Macaca fascicularis: one gene and its partners. The main gene of each other region encodes a partner of the protein of the gene in region 3 in a complex. Links are inferred from orthologs where the notes say so. Each region holds a gene or a part of one and is shown on either strand. Other genes may lie near its edges.

Evidence for each region. The genes of interacting proteins can lie anywhere in the genome.
Region 1: tubulin gamma-2 chain (region 3) and NME7 share a complex: the UniProt entries of both Homo sapiens proteins name them as parts of the gamma-tubulin ring complex. The link is inferred for Macaca fascicularis from reciprocal best matches to the Homo sapiens genes TUBG2 and NME7.
Region 2: tubulin gamma-2 chain (region 3) and TUBGCP2 share a complex: the UniProt entries of both Homo sapiens proteins name them as parts of the gamma-tubulin ring complex. The link is inferred for Macaca fascicularis from reciprocal best matches to the Homo sapiens genes TUBG2 and TUBGCP2.

What each region holds. Positions count from the first base shown.
Region 1 is NC_088375.1:26,936,156-26,941,422, forward strand, and holds part of NME7 (nucleoside diphosphate kinase homolog 7), read right to left. Parts: intron 2,566-5,267; coding exon 2,358-2,565; intron 1-2,357. UniProt on the Homo sapiens protein: Possesses an intrinsic kinase activity. Displays 3'-5' exonuclease activity with a preference for single-stranded DNA. Does not seem to have nucleoside diphosphate kinase activity.
Region 2 is NC_088383.1:142,364,099-142,369,365, reverse strand, and holds part of TUBGCP2 (gamma-tubulin complex component 2), read left to right. Parts: coding exon 1-75; intron 76-1,764; coding exon 1,765-1,924; intron 1,925-5,267. UniProt on the Homo sapiens protein: Component of the gamma-tubulin ring complex (gTuRC) which mediates microtubule nucleation.
Region 3 is NC_088390.1:63,715,600-63,721,643, reverse strand, and holds the start of tubulin gamma-2 chain, read right to left. Parts: upstream 3,550-6,044; 5' UTR 3,328-3,549; coding exon 3,279-3,327; intron 2,998-3,278; coding exon 2,885-2,997; intron 2,683-2,884; coding exon 2,515-2,682; intron 2,202-2,514; coding exon 2,133-2,201; intron 1,644-2,132; coding exon 1,617-1,643; intron 1,270-1,616; exon of another isoform or gene 888-1,269; intron 1-887. UniProt on the Homo sapiens protein: Tubulin is the major constituent of microtubules, protein filaments consisting of alpha- and beta-tubulin heterodimers. Gamma-tubulin is a key component of the gamma-tubulin ring complex (gTuRC) which mediates microtubule nucleation.

The sequences.
Region 1 (5,267 bases), on a different chromosome or scaffold from region 3:
TTGCCTCTACCTCCCCATCAACATTGACCTTACAAAGTTCACCAATGATATCCACATTGCAAAATTTAACAATCCATTCTCAGTCCTCTTCTTACTTGATATATCTGCCATATTTGACACTACTGGTCATTCTCTCATTTTAGAATATTTGATTCACTTGGCCTCGAGGACATAATTATCTCAGTTTTTCCTCTTACCTCTCTGGTGGCTCCTCCTCAACCTCCTTTGCTGCCTTCTTTTCCTTGACCTTTTATCAAGAGGCAGCTTCATCTTTGGTGCTCTTTCCTTCTCTATCTACACCTTCTCCTTGGTAATCTCAACCAGTCTCCCAGCATTAAATACCATTGATGTGCTGATAACTCTAAGCTGTATACTAATTTTTTTCATTCATCAGTCTAATTGGATAACTAACAAACAGGTTAAGTTTACAAATGTCCAAAACGTAACTCCTGATTTGTCCATTCATTCTGACTCTAGCCACAGTTTGCCTCATTTTAGTTTATGTAAATTCTATCCTTCTGTTAATCAGGCTAAGAACTTTGGAGTAATCCTTGATATCTTTTTCTCATACTCTACATTCAGTCTAGCAGAAAATCTTGTTTCTTTGACCTTCAACCATTAATATATATTTTAAAATATATTTGTATACTTCTTTCATTATTACCACCTGGGTCCAAGCAATCATCTCGCTGGGTTATTCCAACAAACTCCTGATTAGGCTCCCTGTTGCCGTTTTTGCCCTCTATTGTCATTCTTTTTTTCTTTTTTCAAGATGGAGTCTGACTCTGTCACCCAGGCTAGAGTACAGTGGCGTGATCTCAGTTCACTGCAACCTCCACCTCCCTGGTTCAAGTAATTCTCCCGCCTCAGCCTCTGGAGTAGCTGGGATTATAGGTGGGCACCACCACATCGAGCTAATTTTTGTATTTTTAGTAGAAACAGGGTTTTACCATGTTGGCCAGGCTGGTCTTGAACTCCTGACCTCAAGTAATCTGCCCGCCTTGGCCTCCCAAAGTGCTGGGATTACAGGCGTAAGCCACCACTCCTGGCCTCTATAGTCATTCTTAATGCAACAGCCAGAATGATCCTTTTAAATGGCAAGTGGAACATATCAGTCCTTTGCTCAAAACCCTACAATGGCTCTATTTTTTCAGAGAGAAATCTAAAAGTACTACTACGGCCTATAAGACCATATAATCGTTCCCCTAATTACCTCTGTAACCTCATCACCCTCTTCCTCCCTCTCTCATTCCTATCCAACCACACTGTCCTCTTTGCTGTTAGTTGACTATTCTAGACAGAAATATGCTATTTAAGGAATAGTGAGATGGTTAGTATGCCTGGAACACAGTGATTAAAATAGAGATTGATCAAAGATACAGTTAGAGATAGATAGGGGCCAGACTAGATAGAGTATTGGAGGCTACAATAAAGACTGTAGATTTTATTCTAGAAGAGACAGAAATTCACTGAAGGGTTTTCAGCAGGTGAATGTTAATCAGATTTGTCTTTAAAAGATCACTGGGCATAGTTAATTGTACTTGGGCAAGGTAAAATTTTCATAAATTGAGTGTAAGAAAAGAGGAAAAAATAATTTGGAGGCTATTGTAGCAGTTCTGGCAAAATACATTAGTGATTTAGACCACAATGATCAGATTCAGGGTTTATTTTGAAAGAGCTGAAGGGACTTGCTGATGAAATGGTAAGAAAAAGAAGGAAATCAATTATAAAACTGTCTAATATTGTTTCATTGCAAACACGACCAGATTAAAAACTACTTTAAGTGAGACACTTCTCACAATGCTAAAAATAAACTTACACTTCATTAATTCAACCTCAGCATAAATCCAATATAATGCTTTATTTATATGGATTTAAAAATAAGGAGTAGAGAAACTTTCATAAACACTAGGTACATATAGGAAAATAATAAGATGTTAAGCTTGAAAGTACAGTGTTAGGTCTGAATCAAAAGGTAATATCTCCAATTATATCTTCTTTATAATATCTCCAATTATATCTTCTTTTTAATATCTGCTAGCCGTAAACTGGTATTCTTACATGAATTCAATAATTCAAACATTTAGGAGCCTCAGTAATTTAAGTCTTTGGAACAAGAAACAGGATGAGAAGTGTTTTATTGGAGAAAACTTACGTTGATCATGATCAGGTTACCAGTTCACAAAGGAGATATACTGAAACACTATTTGATACTAAGCAAAATGTCAAAGATTTTCTCTACTACTAGATCAGTGGCATAAATCCACCCTAAGTCACCAGTGACAGAAATGCTTTACTTTCATATAAAACATTTAAAAGAATTAGAAGAGAATTAAAATATTTTTAAAACTCCTTACTCTGGCCGCAGAAGCAAAAGAATCAGGGCCATGCGCTGCATTTCTTATGCCATCTGTTCCAAAGAGGGCTCTAATGCTTCCAGAAGCATCTGTGCGTGCCACCCCAGAGTTTGCAGGTCCCAGCAGTCTTTTCCATTCACATATAGCATCATCTCTTAAAATCTCCATGGCAATAACAGGACCACTCGTAATAAACTGGATCAGCTCACTGCAAAACAGAAGATTAGTTTGCTTCTTTTTTCTGTCAACCTAGTTATCTGTCTTAACAACAGGATATATTTAAATTGGATTATTTCAACATAGACATGAATATTAATAATCTTAGAACCATTGAGAATAGTTAATTTTACAGGGGCAGGAGAAATTTTTCATAAATTGACTGTCTTGCAGTGGCTCAATTCACTTCAAATCACTAGTAATGTCAAATTACTGTTAGCAGAAAAACCACTGTTCTGTTAAATTAAGACTATTATATGACTTAAAATGCATATTGTTGACCTACGCTTTTCCCAGTGCTCTAACAGGTACAGAGGATTTTCCTTTTTATTTACATGTGTTTACCACTGCAGTCAAGTACAATTTCACAATATACAAATTGATGACAGGGATGGATGCCTTGTAACATATTTTTAGAAAGAATTTATTTATTTTTTGTGTAAAACTATTAGAATTCAAAGACTGACAAAGAACTCTCTCAACCAATAAACACTGAGTTGGTTTGGTGATTTAAAAAAAAAAAAAAACAAAAAACCAGCAGGCTTCAAGAAATATCCTTTTATTAGTGTAAAAACTACTCTGGGCTATTTCTGTATTAAATTATTAAAGCTTATGCATAGGTTCTTGATTAAAAATCCAGCACTGAGTCACAGTCCCGCAAGGTATAAAAAACAATATCTCATTTTATTTTCTACTTTTATATGTGTACAGGATGCAATGACAAGTTTAACTATGAAATAAGTGACATCCTCCTTCTGACTGTATTAAGCAGGGACATAGTACTTTTTAGAGTAAGCCCATGTTTTTCTCTCATCTGAAGTAGAGAGAAGAGACCCTCCTGGAGAAAGGAGCATGCTGTGACAGGCTGTTTTGTGCCCACTAACTTACGACTATTTTTTACACACTTCCTTCCACCCTGTACCATGTTATATGTCACCTCCCCTCAGTACTTCCTTTTTAAAACACTCCCATTCATTTTGAAGAATATTTCTAAGAAATAGTATGTACAAAAAAGTATTCTTATCTTCTACCCTAAGAAGTCGATAATACCTCCTTATACACTTTCTGCCAAACCTTTGATGTCAAAACAAACAAAACTCCCAAGACCAACCATTAGATTAAAAAAACCCAAATCAAGGGAGCAAACCATGTTTAGTCACTCAGTAAGCATTTAATCATTACCTACAACATCAGCCTCTGTGCCATAAAAAAAATACCCCCTTCGAGACACTTACAATCTAATGCCCTATTAATACAGAATTCTCAAAACACACTATCAAATAAGCCTATGAATATGGCATGTAACAATACAGGGAATGATGTGCCTGATCATAGATACTGTTTCATGCAATTACTTCACCTAGTCTATTGTTACATCGTTCTCATTAACAGGCAACTAGTTAATCCATTCTTATAATAAAATTTACTGCACGTAAATCACATATAAATCATTAGACTAGGAGTTGTAATTCAATTCTATAAACATATACAAAGTTTATACCAAAAGATAATTTCCACCAATTTTCTAGAAAATTGTATATGGCTATTCTAACAAGACAGGAATATTTTATAATGCTTGATTTGAAATAATCTATAGCATAATAATTTTCTCATATAAAAATTTTTTTTTAAAAACCCACTACTCAGTGCAGGATATCAAATAACATGTCTACTGTGGCCATTTCATTTGGCTGATACAACATTCTTTCTTATTAGAAGTGTAAACACTCTTTGTCAACAGTAACATGAGTATGCAAAATATTCACTTAAATTTAATTACATGTCAAATATTTAGAATATATAGATTCAGTGTAACATATATTATTTGTTATGTGTCAAGGAACAAAATATATATCAAACTATTTAGTTAAAATAGAAGGGTTCCATGAACATTGCTTTATGTATACAAGACTACCAAAATAATTTAAAAGTACAACAGGCTACAGTAACCAAAACAGCATGGTACTGGTACAAAAATAGACACATAGATCACTGGAACATAATAGAGAACCCAGAAATAAAGTCACACATCTACAGCCATCTGAACTTTGACAAAGTCAACAAAAATAAGCAATGGGGAAAGGATTCTCTATTCAATAAATGGTGCTGGGATACCTGTCTAGCCATAAGCAGAAGAATGAAACTGGCCCCCTAATTTTAACCATATACAAAACTTCACTCAAGATGGATTAAAGATTTGAAAGTAAGACCTCAAACTGTAAGAATCCTAGAAGAAAATCTAGGAAACACCATTCTGGACATTGGCCTTGGGAAAGAATTTATGACTAAGTCCTCAAAAGTAATGGCAACAAAAACAAAAATTGACAAGTGGGACTAAAGAGCTTCTGCACAGAAAGCTTCTGCACTAGCGACAGAGTAAAAAGACAACCTACAGAATGGGAGAAAATATTCGCAAACTATGCATTCAACAAAGGACTAATATGCAGAATCTGTAAGGACCTTAAACAATCAAACAAGCATGAAACAACCCCACTAAAAAAATGAGCAAAAGACATGAATACACACTTCTCAAAAGAACATACAAGCAGCCAATAAGCATATGAAAAAATGCTCAATATCACTAATCATCAGAGAAATGCAAATCAAAACCACAATGAGATACCATCTCACACCAGTCAGAATGGCTATTATTAAAAAGTCAAAAAATAAACATGCTGGCAAGACTACAGAGAA
Region 2 (5,267 bases), on a different chromosome or scaffold from region 3:
AAGATCTCCATGCAGGAGCTTGAGGAGCTGAGGAAGCAGCTTGGCAGTGTAGCCACAGGCTCCACACTACAGCAGGTACTATGTGCATGGCAGTCCACAGGCTCCATGCTGCAGCACATATGTGTCTGTGGCTGTCCACAGGCACCCACGCTGCAGCAGGTACTGCATGCATGGCCATCCACGGGCTCCACACTGCAGCAGGTACTGCGTCCGTGGCTGTCCACAGGCACCACACTCAGTGCTGTGCCGGACCCCTGCTGCAAGGGCATGTCTCTCTGTCGTTTATTAAAAATGAATCCCGGCCGGGCGCGGTGGCTCAAGCCTGTAATCCCAGCACTTTGGGAGGCTGAGACGGGCGGATCACGAGGTCAGGAGATCGAGACCATCCTGGCTAACACGGTGAAACCCCGTCTCTACTAAAAAATACAAAAAACTAGCTGGGCGAGGTGGCGGGCGCCTGTAGTCCCAGCTACTTGGGAGGCTGAGGCAGGAGAATGGCGTGAACCCGGGAGGCGGAGCTTGCAGTGAGCTGAGATCCGGCCACTGCACTCCAGCCTGGGCGACAGAGCGAGACTCTGTCTCAAAAAAAAAAAAAAATGAATCCCAATTTAGAGAGGTCAAGGCTTAACGCTTGATCATGACCTAGCTCTATGTGTTTATTTTTGTTTTTAAAACCAAGAATTCTGAACCACAAGAATCAATAACAACAAGGTTCTGACCCACGTGGGAGTTGTGCTGCCAGGTGGCCACGTGACTCTGAGCCTACCCAATCCTGACTCCCCATTTCCCTCCTCTAATTTTTGACAGTTTCGAGGGAATGCTTTCAGATTGTTATAATTTTTATTATTCCTTCCGTATTTGGTACTTGTTCTTGGTTTTGATTTTATGTCCTACCCTGGTCTTTTGATGTAAGTCATCTCCCAGTCTCTCTCCTTGGAGCTGCGACGTTCCTGCCTTTGTGACCTTAAAGCTCCCTTTGGAGCTGTGTCCCTGAGGCGTCCTGGCCTTGTGGTGCATGTTGAGTACAGCGGCTCCTGAGGGCCTGGCCGGTTTTTGCTGGGCATGTTCTGTGCTGGACATGGTGCTAGGCCTCTGTTCACGTCTCCCTCAGCCCTGGCGCCGCGCTGTGTGTGGCACGTAAGGAGACTGGGTCGTGCTGCCACGTGCAGAGACAGTTTGCACTTGCCCTGTGCCTGACCAGCCCTGAGTGGGAGTCAGTGCTTCCGAAAGCTGGGCCAGCCCAGGCCGACCTGTCAGCTTCCGGCGGCCACTGGCACAGGAGGGCAGGCGCTCTGACCACATGTCAGGAGCCAGCCTGTCGCGCTGGGGCCGTTCTCCAGCAGGGTAAGGACGCAAGTCTATTGCTAACACCTGTCTTCACCCAGCAAGTGGTGTTCAGACCTAGTCACTGCCAGGAAGAAGCAATTCAGCTTGTTCATGGGGTACCCTCCTCTGAAACAGCGGCTCTGTGCCAAGGTGCCCCCTCTCCTGTGGTTCCCACTGCTGGTGCCCATGGTTTCCCAGGGGGCCCTTGCTGGACCTGGACTCCTGAGAGGAGGGGCTGGGGCTCCCCATCTGCCCTGTTCTCCCCAGCCCCTCGTGTGGCAGGGATATCGAGCTGCATTTCATTTCTATGTGGCTGACTCTTTGTGGGTGCTAAATTGACTAATCATCTTTGCTGTAGATGTTAGTTTCTACAGGTGTATTGAGTGTTTGCACTAAAGTGTATCTTTCTGGTTTTGTTTTTAAAAATGTCCTTGCTAGTCTCTGGAACTTAAAAGAAAGATGCTTCGAGACAAGCAGAACAAAAAAAATTCGGGCCAGCACCTCCCTGTCTTCCCAGCGTGGGTGTATGAGAGACCTGCCCTGATCGGGGATTTCCTGATTGGTGCTGGCATCAGCACAGACACCGCTTTGCCGATAGGTACGTGATGCGTTTATTTCCGGGCTCTGCCGATAGGTATGTGATGGGTTTATTTCTGGCCCCTGGGCAGGACACTCTGAGGCCCAGCCCTCCCCTGGGCCTGCCCTTCCTCAGGTTGTGAGGCTCGATGCTGACTGGCCGCTGCCTCCATATTCCTATCCCAGGGTGGCAGCAGAAAGTGGCTCCCCTGGGTCCTTGAGGGTTCTTCTCCCGTCCCTCCTGCCAGAGCTGTGGGGCAGCCTACAGCAGGCCCCTCCCCAGCTGGCATCCTGGTGCCCTGGTGCAGACCTGCAGGCACCAGAATTGTGTGCAGCACTTACTTCTGAACAGCGGTTCATAACTCCCATAGATTCTGTTCCCAGAGGCCTCTTAAAGTAGTGCTCGTGTAAACAAGATGCAAGTGAGACCACACAGTCATTTCAAGGCATGTTGTTGGGGACCCGGGGTGTGTTCATCTGTCACAATTCATGGGTACATTTTTATCTATTTTTAATTCTTTTGAGATGGAATCTCACTCTGTCGCTGGAGAGCAGTGGTGCGATCTCGGCTCACTGCAACCTCCACCTCCCAGGTTCAAGCAATTCTCCTGCCTCAGCCTCCCAAGTAGCTGGGACTGCAGGTGCCACCACGCCCAGCTAATTTTTGTATTTTTAGTGGAGGTGGGGTTTTGCCATGTTGGCCAGACTGGTCATGAACTCCTGACCTCTGGTGATCTGCCCACCTTGGCCTCCCAAAGTGTGGGATTGCAGGCGTGAGCCACCACACCTAGTCAAGTACATTTTTAGATTGAAAAATGAGATTTCACGAACTTAAGGACAGAGATACCTGCTTGTCTTGCTTGTCTTGCCTCTGCCTATTAGTCCAAACTCAAGAGGCAGCGTGGAACGCGATCTGCTTTCCCACTGCTCGCGCAGCTCTGCGGTGTAGGCACCGAGAGGCCAACCCTTGCCTTTGCCAGAAACCCTGGAGAACGGTGACATGAAATCCACCTGTTTTCCTCATTCCCAACAAACAGAACTCTGCTGTAAGTTAATGAAAAGTGTAGAAAACAGTCTACTTTGGCCGGGCGTGGTGGCTCACACCTGTAATCCCAGCGCTTAGGGAGGGTGAGGTGGGTGGATCACCTGAGCCCAGGAATTCGAGACCAGCCTGGGCAACATGACAAGACTAGTCTCTACAAAAAGTATAAAAATTAGCCGAGTGTGGTAGCGGGCACCTGTAGTCCCAGCTCCTCAGGAGGCTGAGGTGGGAGATCACTTGAGCCTGGGAGGTCGAGGCTGCAATGAGCTGTGATCATGCCACTGCACTCCAGCTTGGGCAACAGAGTAAGACCCTGTTTCAAAAAAAAAGAAAACAGTCTGCTTTGTGCAGTGTGTTTTCAGTAATAATCCAACTGTGAAGAGTTAGGGAGAGAGAGCCGCTCCCTTAGCAGGTATTTAGCGGGCGGCTGGGGCAGCAGTGGGCATCTGAGAGCTCCTGATGATGCCCAGGGAGGCTTCAGAGAAGGACGCGCGGGTCCCTGGTGCCCGAGATCCCGGCAGTGGAGCACAGCGGAACCAGCTTTCTGGAGCAGGAAGCACTGAGGGGGGTGTTCAGGCTTTCCCCCCATGTTTCCCCATCCAGGGAAGGGGCTGTGTCCAATAATGCTGGGTGCCATGGGCAGCTCTGAGCATGGCGGTGATTGGAAGCAAGTGTGTGGGACTTGGCTGTGAACCCTGCAGCCGGCTCTCAGGTCAGGGTGCGGGTGCCCTCGGCACACTCAGCGCCCTAGGGAAGGGGCGGCCTTGCCCCACCTCCCTCCCACGGCCACAGGTCCCAGGCGTGCCACCGGCATCGAGCCTGCCTCGCCTCCCTTTGTCCGCACTGTCCCCGCCCCCTCGTGCCGCCTGCGCAGACTCGAGAATGGAGCTCACTGTGGTGTTCGTGCGGGGCCTGTCCAGCCCTTACCCCACGATTTGACCAGTGCCACACCACGGGACCTTGCATGACCTGGGGCCAGCGTCCTCTGGAAAACACCCCTGGAGTGGTGTGTGATGAGGACACGTGCCTTGGAAAGCATCAGGACCTTGTGAGCACGAGGCGGCTGCCAGCCCTCCACGTTCCCGCCGTGCCTCTCCACAGTGTGGGCGTCCACCTGGCCAGCGCCGCCGCGGCAGCGTCCTCCCTCTCGTCGCTGCTGTGCAGCGTGCGGAGCTGTTTGCCTACCCGCGTCCTGCCTTTTCCCCACACCGGCACGGAGGAGCCACGTGGTCAGTGGTCGTTCGGACGTGGTGATTCGCAGACGACGACGCAGGTGTTGAGAAGACACCAAGGATGTTGAATATTGGGGAGGTGAAGCAACTGACTTCTTTTTTTCTTGAGACAGGGTCTCACTTCGTTGCCTTGGCTGGAGTGCAGTGGCGTGATCTCAGCTCACTGCAGCCTCGACCGCCCAAGCTCAGGTGATTCTCCCACCTCAGCCTGCCGAGTAGCTGGGACTGCAGGCGTGCACCATCACACGCAGCTAATTTCTGTATTTTTAGTAGAGACGGGAATTTGTCATGTTGCCCAGGCTGGTTTGAACTGGAGTCAAGCGATCTGTCCACCTTGGCCTCCTAAAGTGATGGGATTACAGGTGTGAGCCGCCGTGCCCGGCCTTGAGGTCCCTCCACAGTCAGGCAGCCGGATCCACACTAACCCCCACCCCACCGTGAGGCTTCTCCCCACATGGGCACTGGCCACTTCGTGGCTGTGGGTGAATGAGGCCAACAGGGTGGAAAGGAAGTGGTGCAGAGTCAGAGGCAGTTCCTGGAAGATGCACTTGCTGTTCTCGAACCCCCACGCCACACCTGCTGCTTTAGGAATGGCAGACCTCGGGGTCCCTGTTTTATTGGCCATCCTGAGAAGCCGCTGGAGTAATAGACAGAAATGGAACTTGAAGCTGAAAAGTGTAGATCTGCCAGCCTGGGCAACACGGCCCGACCCCGCCTCTACAAAAAATTTAAAAATTAGCCGGGAATGGTGGCATGCGCCTGTGTTCCCAGCTCTGAGGGAGGCTTAAGAGGCAGGATCGCTTGAGCCTAGGTGCTCAAGGCTGCAGTGAACTGAGATTGCACCACTGCACTCCAGCCTGGGTGACAGAGCAAGATTTGTCTCAAAAAGGAAAAAAAAACAAGGACAATGTGGATCTGCATCGTGATTGAGGCTTTTGCCGAAGGGCTTGCGTTGGTGACGGATTGCAGCTGCGCTCAGAGTCTTGAGGCCTGCAGTACAGGACACTTCCCAGCAGACGTGTGAGGCCGACAGTGATTTTGTAAACTGGAAGCGTGTTGTTTGGAGCCTTCCTGAGCTGCTAGGGCCTGGT
Region 3 (6,044 bases):
GCAGCCAATTCTACAGTAGATGCCAGCTGGGTATCCACTAATTCACTTGAATTCTGGACTACCTACAGACTGTCCCTGACTTAGGATGGTTTAATTTAAGATGTTTTGGCTTTATGATGGGTTTATCAGGATGTAATCCCATCTTAAATCAAGAAGCATCTGAATTACAACGGTTCAATTTACAATTTTTCAACTTCATGATGGGCTAATTGGGTTATAACCTGACACATTTCTACTTACAATATTTTCAATTTTTTTTTCTTTTTTTGAGACGGAGTCTTGCTCTGTCACCCAGGCTGTAGTGCCCAATCTTGGCTCACTGCAACCTTTGCTTCCTAGGTTCAAGCCATTCTCCTGCCTCAGCCTGTTAAGTAGCTGGGACTATGGGCATGCACCACCATGCCTGGCTAATTTTTGTATTTTTAGTAGATATGGGGTTTCACCATTTTGGTCAGGCTGGCCTTGAACTCCTGACCTCAATTGATCTACCCGCCTCGGCCTCCCAAAGTGCTGGGATTACAGGCATGAGCTACCGCGCCCAGCCTGAAATTTGTTTTGGTTTTAGAGACAGGATCTCACTCAGTCCCCCAGACTGCAGTGTAGTGGTGTGATCATAGCTCACTGCAGCCTTGAATTCCTGGGCTCAAGGCATCTTCCTATCTCAACCTCCAAGTAGCTAGGACTACAGGCAGCACCATGCCTGGATGATGTTTGTATTTTTTGCAGAGATGGGGTTTCACCATGTTGCCCAGGTCCTGGGCTCAGGTGATCCACCCGCTTCAGCCTCCCAAAGTGCTGGGATTACAGGCATGAGCCACTGTGCCTAGTCAATATTTTCAATTTGTGATGTCCTGATAAACCCACTGTAAGTTGAGAAGTATCCGTACCTAAAGATAGCATCGGATCCCACAGAGTGAAGGCTCAGTCCCACAAGACTCTCCCACTTCCAATGCCAATACAAGCTTCAGGTTGTTTTATCTGTGCCTCTGACCAACCGGCTATAAATTGGGGTTCTCAGGACTGCTCCTTGGGTTCAATTAATTTGTTAGAGTAGCTCGCAGAACTCAAGGAGACACCCACTTACGTTTACCCGTTTGTTATAAAGGATATTTTAAAGGATACAAATAAACAGCCAGATGAAGAGATACCGAGGGGAAGCTCTGGAAGGTTCCGGCGCACAGGAGCTGCTGCCCTGTGGTGCTGGGTTTGCAGCCTCCCGGCCTGTGGATGTGTTCTTGTTCACCTTCCTGGAAGCCCCCGAACTCAGTCCTTTTGGATTTTTATGGAGGCTTCATTACACAGGCATGACTGATTAAATCATTGACAATTGGTGCTCTACTCAATCTTCATCCCTCTCCCTTCCCCAGAGGTGAGGGATGGGCCTGTAAATTCCAACCCTCAGAGCACCAGGTTTGTTCCCCTGGCAACCAACACCCCATCCAGTGGCTATCTGGGACTTTCCAAAAAATCGCCTCTTTAACATAAGCTCAGGTTTGGTTGAAATGCACTTGTTCCTCCTTAGTACAGCGGTTAGTAAAATTAACTAATTAAAATAAAATGAAAGATTAATCTAAAAGAAAGGGGCTTGTTATAAATAACAAAAGACTGTCTTTCACCTTTATCACTCTGGAGCTGTTCTGGAGCTGTTTCAGAAACCAAGGACGAAAGGTCAAATATTGTAACAAAACATACTCTTATTGCTCTAGTCCCTTAGGAAATTACATGGGTTATAAGAGTTGTAAGCCAGGAACACATCGCGCCCAGCATGGGGAGAGACGGAGAGGCAGTCTCCAAGGATCTGGGGGAAGACTTCGGCATGGCTCATTCCCCATTCCCAAAACGCCCATGTCTCAAAGCTTCCTCTTACGCATCCAGGCTGAGGCTCCTTGGGAAGGTTTGGAGCTGGAGAAGCTGAGTGACTCATGCCTAAGGGGCCAGTGCCATTCAGATTTATGACTTCCTTAAGAACAAAGATTATATTTTATTCACCTCAATATCCCACATCTGATGCTCCATAAATGGGTTTTGAATTGAATTGCTCCCCTCACATCACCTATCCAGGCCACCTCCTGACGTTTCCCCAGCACTCTTCAGCCTCCCTGCCCATTCCTTCCCCCACTCCATAACTTCACCTCTAAACTGTCACTTCCATCTGCTTCTCGGTCTATGATATCAAAGATGTCTTCATGAATTTTCTCACCCTGTATAGAGACATGGAAAGGGAGGGTCAGGCCAAAGGTTCCAGAGCGCATCTTTTCTCAGTACAGCACTGTCTACCCTGGAATACTGTTGCCACCCTGAAGCAAAGCCTAGGCTGTAGCCCTCAACCCAGAAGTGCTACTATTGCAAATGATTTGCACAAAATTTGCATAAACCTCTCCCTGGCTGTCCCTCTTGTTTGGGGAATCCTTTTGTCTCTTATTTTCTGGCAGTCTGGTCAAATTCCTAGTAGCTTGAGCCTCCCTTGCCTCTGGATGGGACTATCAAAGGTCTCTGGAATAGTCGCCCGGACACCTGGGAGAATCCACTGGCCCAGTTGTTGCCAGCTCCTCCTCCATGCTCCGACAGGTAGATGTTCTCTGGGTTGTAGAGCTTGGCATAGGGGGAGTTGAGGATGGAGTGGATCACCCGGGGCTCCAGGTCCAGCAGCACGGCCCGGGGGATGTAGTGCTCATCGTCTGCCTGTCAAGGGGAGTCCAGGAGGGGGCCCAATCAGCTAGGGTGGCCCAAGTCCTAAGTCCTCCCAACTCTGGCTCCCTCCAGCCCTCCCTCCTCAAGCCAGCCGCCTGGCCCCACTGCCCAGCAGGGTTCCCAGTACCAGGCCACTCCCTTCCCTTCTGGCCCCTCGGGCCATTGCCGCCCTTGGCCAAGTCGCTGGGGGCACCTGGTAGAAAAAGACGTCCTTGCGGTCAGTGCCTTCGGTGGCGAACTCCTCCACGATGCCCTCGGGGCTGATACCATGCTCAGCGCACAGCTGTTTCCAGAACTCGAACCCAACTGGGGGAGGGGGGAGATGCCCGGGTCTGCTGGAGCCTTAAGGCCTGAGGAGCCCAGTTTTAGTCTCAGAGGCCGACACGATCAGAGGGTGGACCCAAGATGCCTGGGTCTGGTGGCTGCCCCAGTCCCGGGCTGGGAGCGCAGCTCTCGGTCTGGGTTATCCAGAGCAGCAGGCTAGGGGGTTCATGGAAGGGGAAGGGGGACTGGTGGAAGCCAGGCACTTGGGTGGGACCCAAAGGGGCAGAACCAGAGACCGGTGGGGGCGGCGCTCGCTTGCTCACTCTGGTTGCCGCACTGGCCCAGCTGCAGGGTGATGATCTCCCGGGGCATCGCTCTTCAGACGTGGGCGCCCCAGCCCCGGCCTGGCGAGAGTCACGGCTGAGACGAATGCCTGGCAGCCAGGCGCGCAGGACGTGGGGAGCGCGCGCTCTCTTCGCCTCTTGACGCGGATGCTCGGTCTGCGCGTGTGCAGCGCAGGCCTCTCCTCGGCCGGTGGGCCGTGGAGCCCAACCTGGGCATCATTTTCTTCCTCAGCAGTCGCAGCTGGAATTCGGCACAAGCGCACAGTCAGGCCACGCCTGCTCCTGCCCACCGCTCCGCGCCTGCGCAGTGAGACTTGTTAGGGGTGGCAGGGTCGGAACATGGATGTGTGGGGGAGGGGAGGGGAGCGGAGGGGAGGGGAGGGGAGACGCGGGAAGGGGAAGGGAGGGGAGACGCGGGAAGGGGAAGGGAGGGGAGGGTAGGGGCGAAGCGACCAGGTGGACGTGCTTGTCCACGTGTAAGGAGTCACCTACCTATATTGGTAGGTGAGGACTCTGCCAGCTTTGCTAGGTCCAAGGGCTAGAAGCCAGCTTTTCTTCGTTTAAATTTCTATGTTTCAATGGTGTTACAATACATACACATGTATGTTACCTTTTCATTTTTTATTTTTTAGAAGTGTCTCGCTCTGTCGCCCAGGCTGGAGTGCAGTGGTAAGATCATAGCTCACTGTAGCCTCGAACTTCTGGCTTAAGTGATCCTCCCACTTCAGCCTCCCGAGTAGCTGGGACTACAGGCGTGTGCTACCACGCCCAGGTAATTTTTAAATTTTTAAAATGTATTTTTATAAAGATGAGGATCTCACCGTGTTGCCCAGGATGGTCTTGAACTCCTGACCTCAATCAATCCTCCTACCTCGGCCTCCCAAAATGCTGGAATTACAGGCATGAGCCACCACTCCTGGCCAAAATTTACCACTGTAACCATTTGTAATTACTGCATACAGTTCTGTGGCATCAAGTACACTCACATTGCTCTGTAACCGTCACCACCATTCTTTTCTAGAACTTTCTCATCTTCCCAAACTGAAACTCTATAGCGATTAAACAGTAACTTCCCCTTGACTACTCTAGGCACCTGATATGAGTAGAATTATACAGTATTTGTCTTTTTGGGTCTGGCTGCTTTCACTTAATATCTTCAAGATCCTTCCATTTTGTAGCATGTGTCAGAATTTCCTTCCGTTTTACAACTGAATAATATTACGTTGTATAGATGTACCACATTTTGCATAACCATTCATCCCTCCATGGACATTTGGGTTGCTTCCACCCTTTGGCTGTTGTGAATGTTGCTGCTTTGAATGTGAGTGTACAGATATCTGTTCGAGTCTCTGCTTTCAATTATTTTGGATATACACCCACAGATAGAATTGCTGGATCCTATGGTAATTCTGTTTAATGTTCTGAGGAATCGCCATATGATTTTCCATGGTAGCTGCAGCGATTTTATATTCCCACCAGCGATGCACAAGGGTTCAATTATATAGGAGGCTATTGGTTTGCACTGAGCTCCTGTGCTAGGCCCAACAGACCAAACCAAAATGGAGTCACTCATGCTAAAGTTCCATGTCACTAAGCAACACTAAGTTGTTTATCAAACCTTCAGAGGAATCAGGAGAGAGAAGGAACAGCCAAAACCCCAAACAGGCCAGTTTTAGCCGGCATGATACGGAAGTCCTTTCTTCTTTAACCTTTACAAGACAAGTAACTTTGAAATGACCAATCTACTTTTTTTTCTTCTGTTTCTATTTTTCTCTGCCCTTTTTCATCCATAAAACTAACCTGTGCTTGACTCATCTGAATACTCATTCTATTTATTTTATGGAATGAAATGTAGCCTGATTCTAGAATCACAAACACTGTCAATGCCACTTAAGGTCTTTTTTTTTTTTGAGACAAAGTCTCACTCTGTTGCCCAGGTTGGAGTGCAGTGGCACGATCTCGGCTTACTACAACCTCTGCCTCTCTCAGGTTCAAGCAATTCTCCTGGCTCAGCCTCACTAGTAGCTGAGATTACAGGGGTACACCACCACATCTGGCCAATTTTTTTGTATTTTTGGTAGAGACAGGGGTTTCATCATGTTGCCCAGACTGGTCTTGAACCCCTGAGCTCAGGTAATGTACCTGCCTCAGCCTCCCAAAGTGCTGGGATTATAGGCGTGAGCCACCATGCTCAGCCAAGTTAAAATTTTTTTTTTTTTTTTTTTTTTTTGAGACAGAGTTTCGCTCTTGTTGCCCAGGCTGGAGTGCAATGGCGCGATCTCGACTCACCGCAGGCTCCACCTCCCGGGTTCAAGCCATTCTTCTGCCTCAGCCTCCCAAGTAGCTGGGATTACAGGCATGTGCCATCACGCCCAGCTAATTTTGTATTTTTAGTAGAGATGGGGTTTCTCCATGTTGGTCGACCTCAGGTGATCTGCCTGTCTTGGTCTCCCAAAGTGCTAGGATTACAGGCGTGAGCCACCATGCCCAGCCTTTTTTTTTTTTTTTTTTTGAGATGTAGTCTCACTCTGTAGCCCAGGCTGGAGTGCAATGGCTTGATCTCAGCTCAGTGCAACCTCTGCCTCCTGGGTTCAAGCAATTCTTCTGCTTCAGCCTCCCAAGTACCTGGGATTATAGGCACGCTTCACCATACTCTGCTAATTTTTGTATTTTTAGTAGAGACGGGGTTTCACCATATTGGCCAGGCTGGTCTCAAACTCCTGACCTTGTGATCTGCCCACCTTG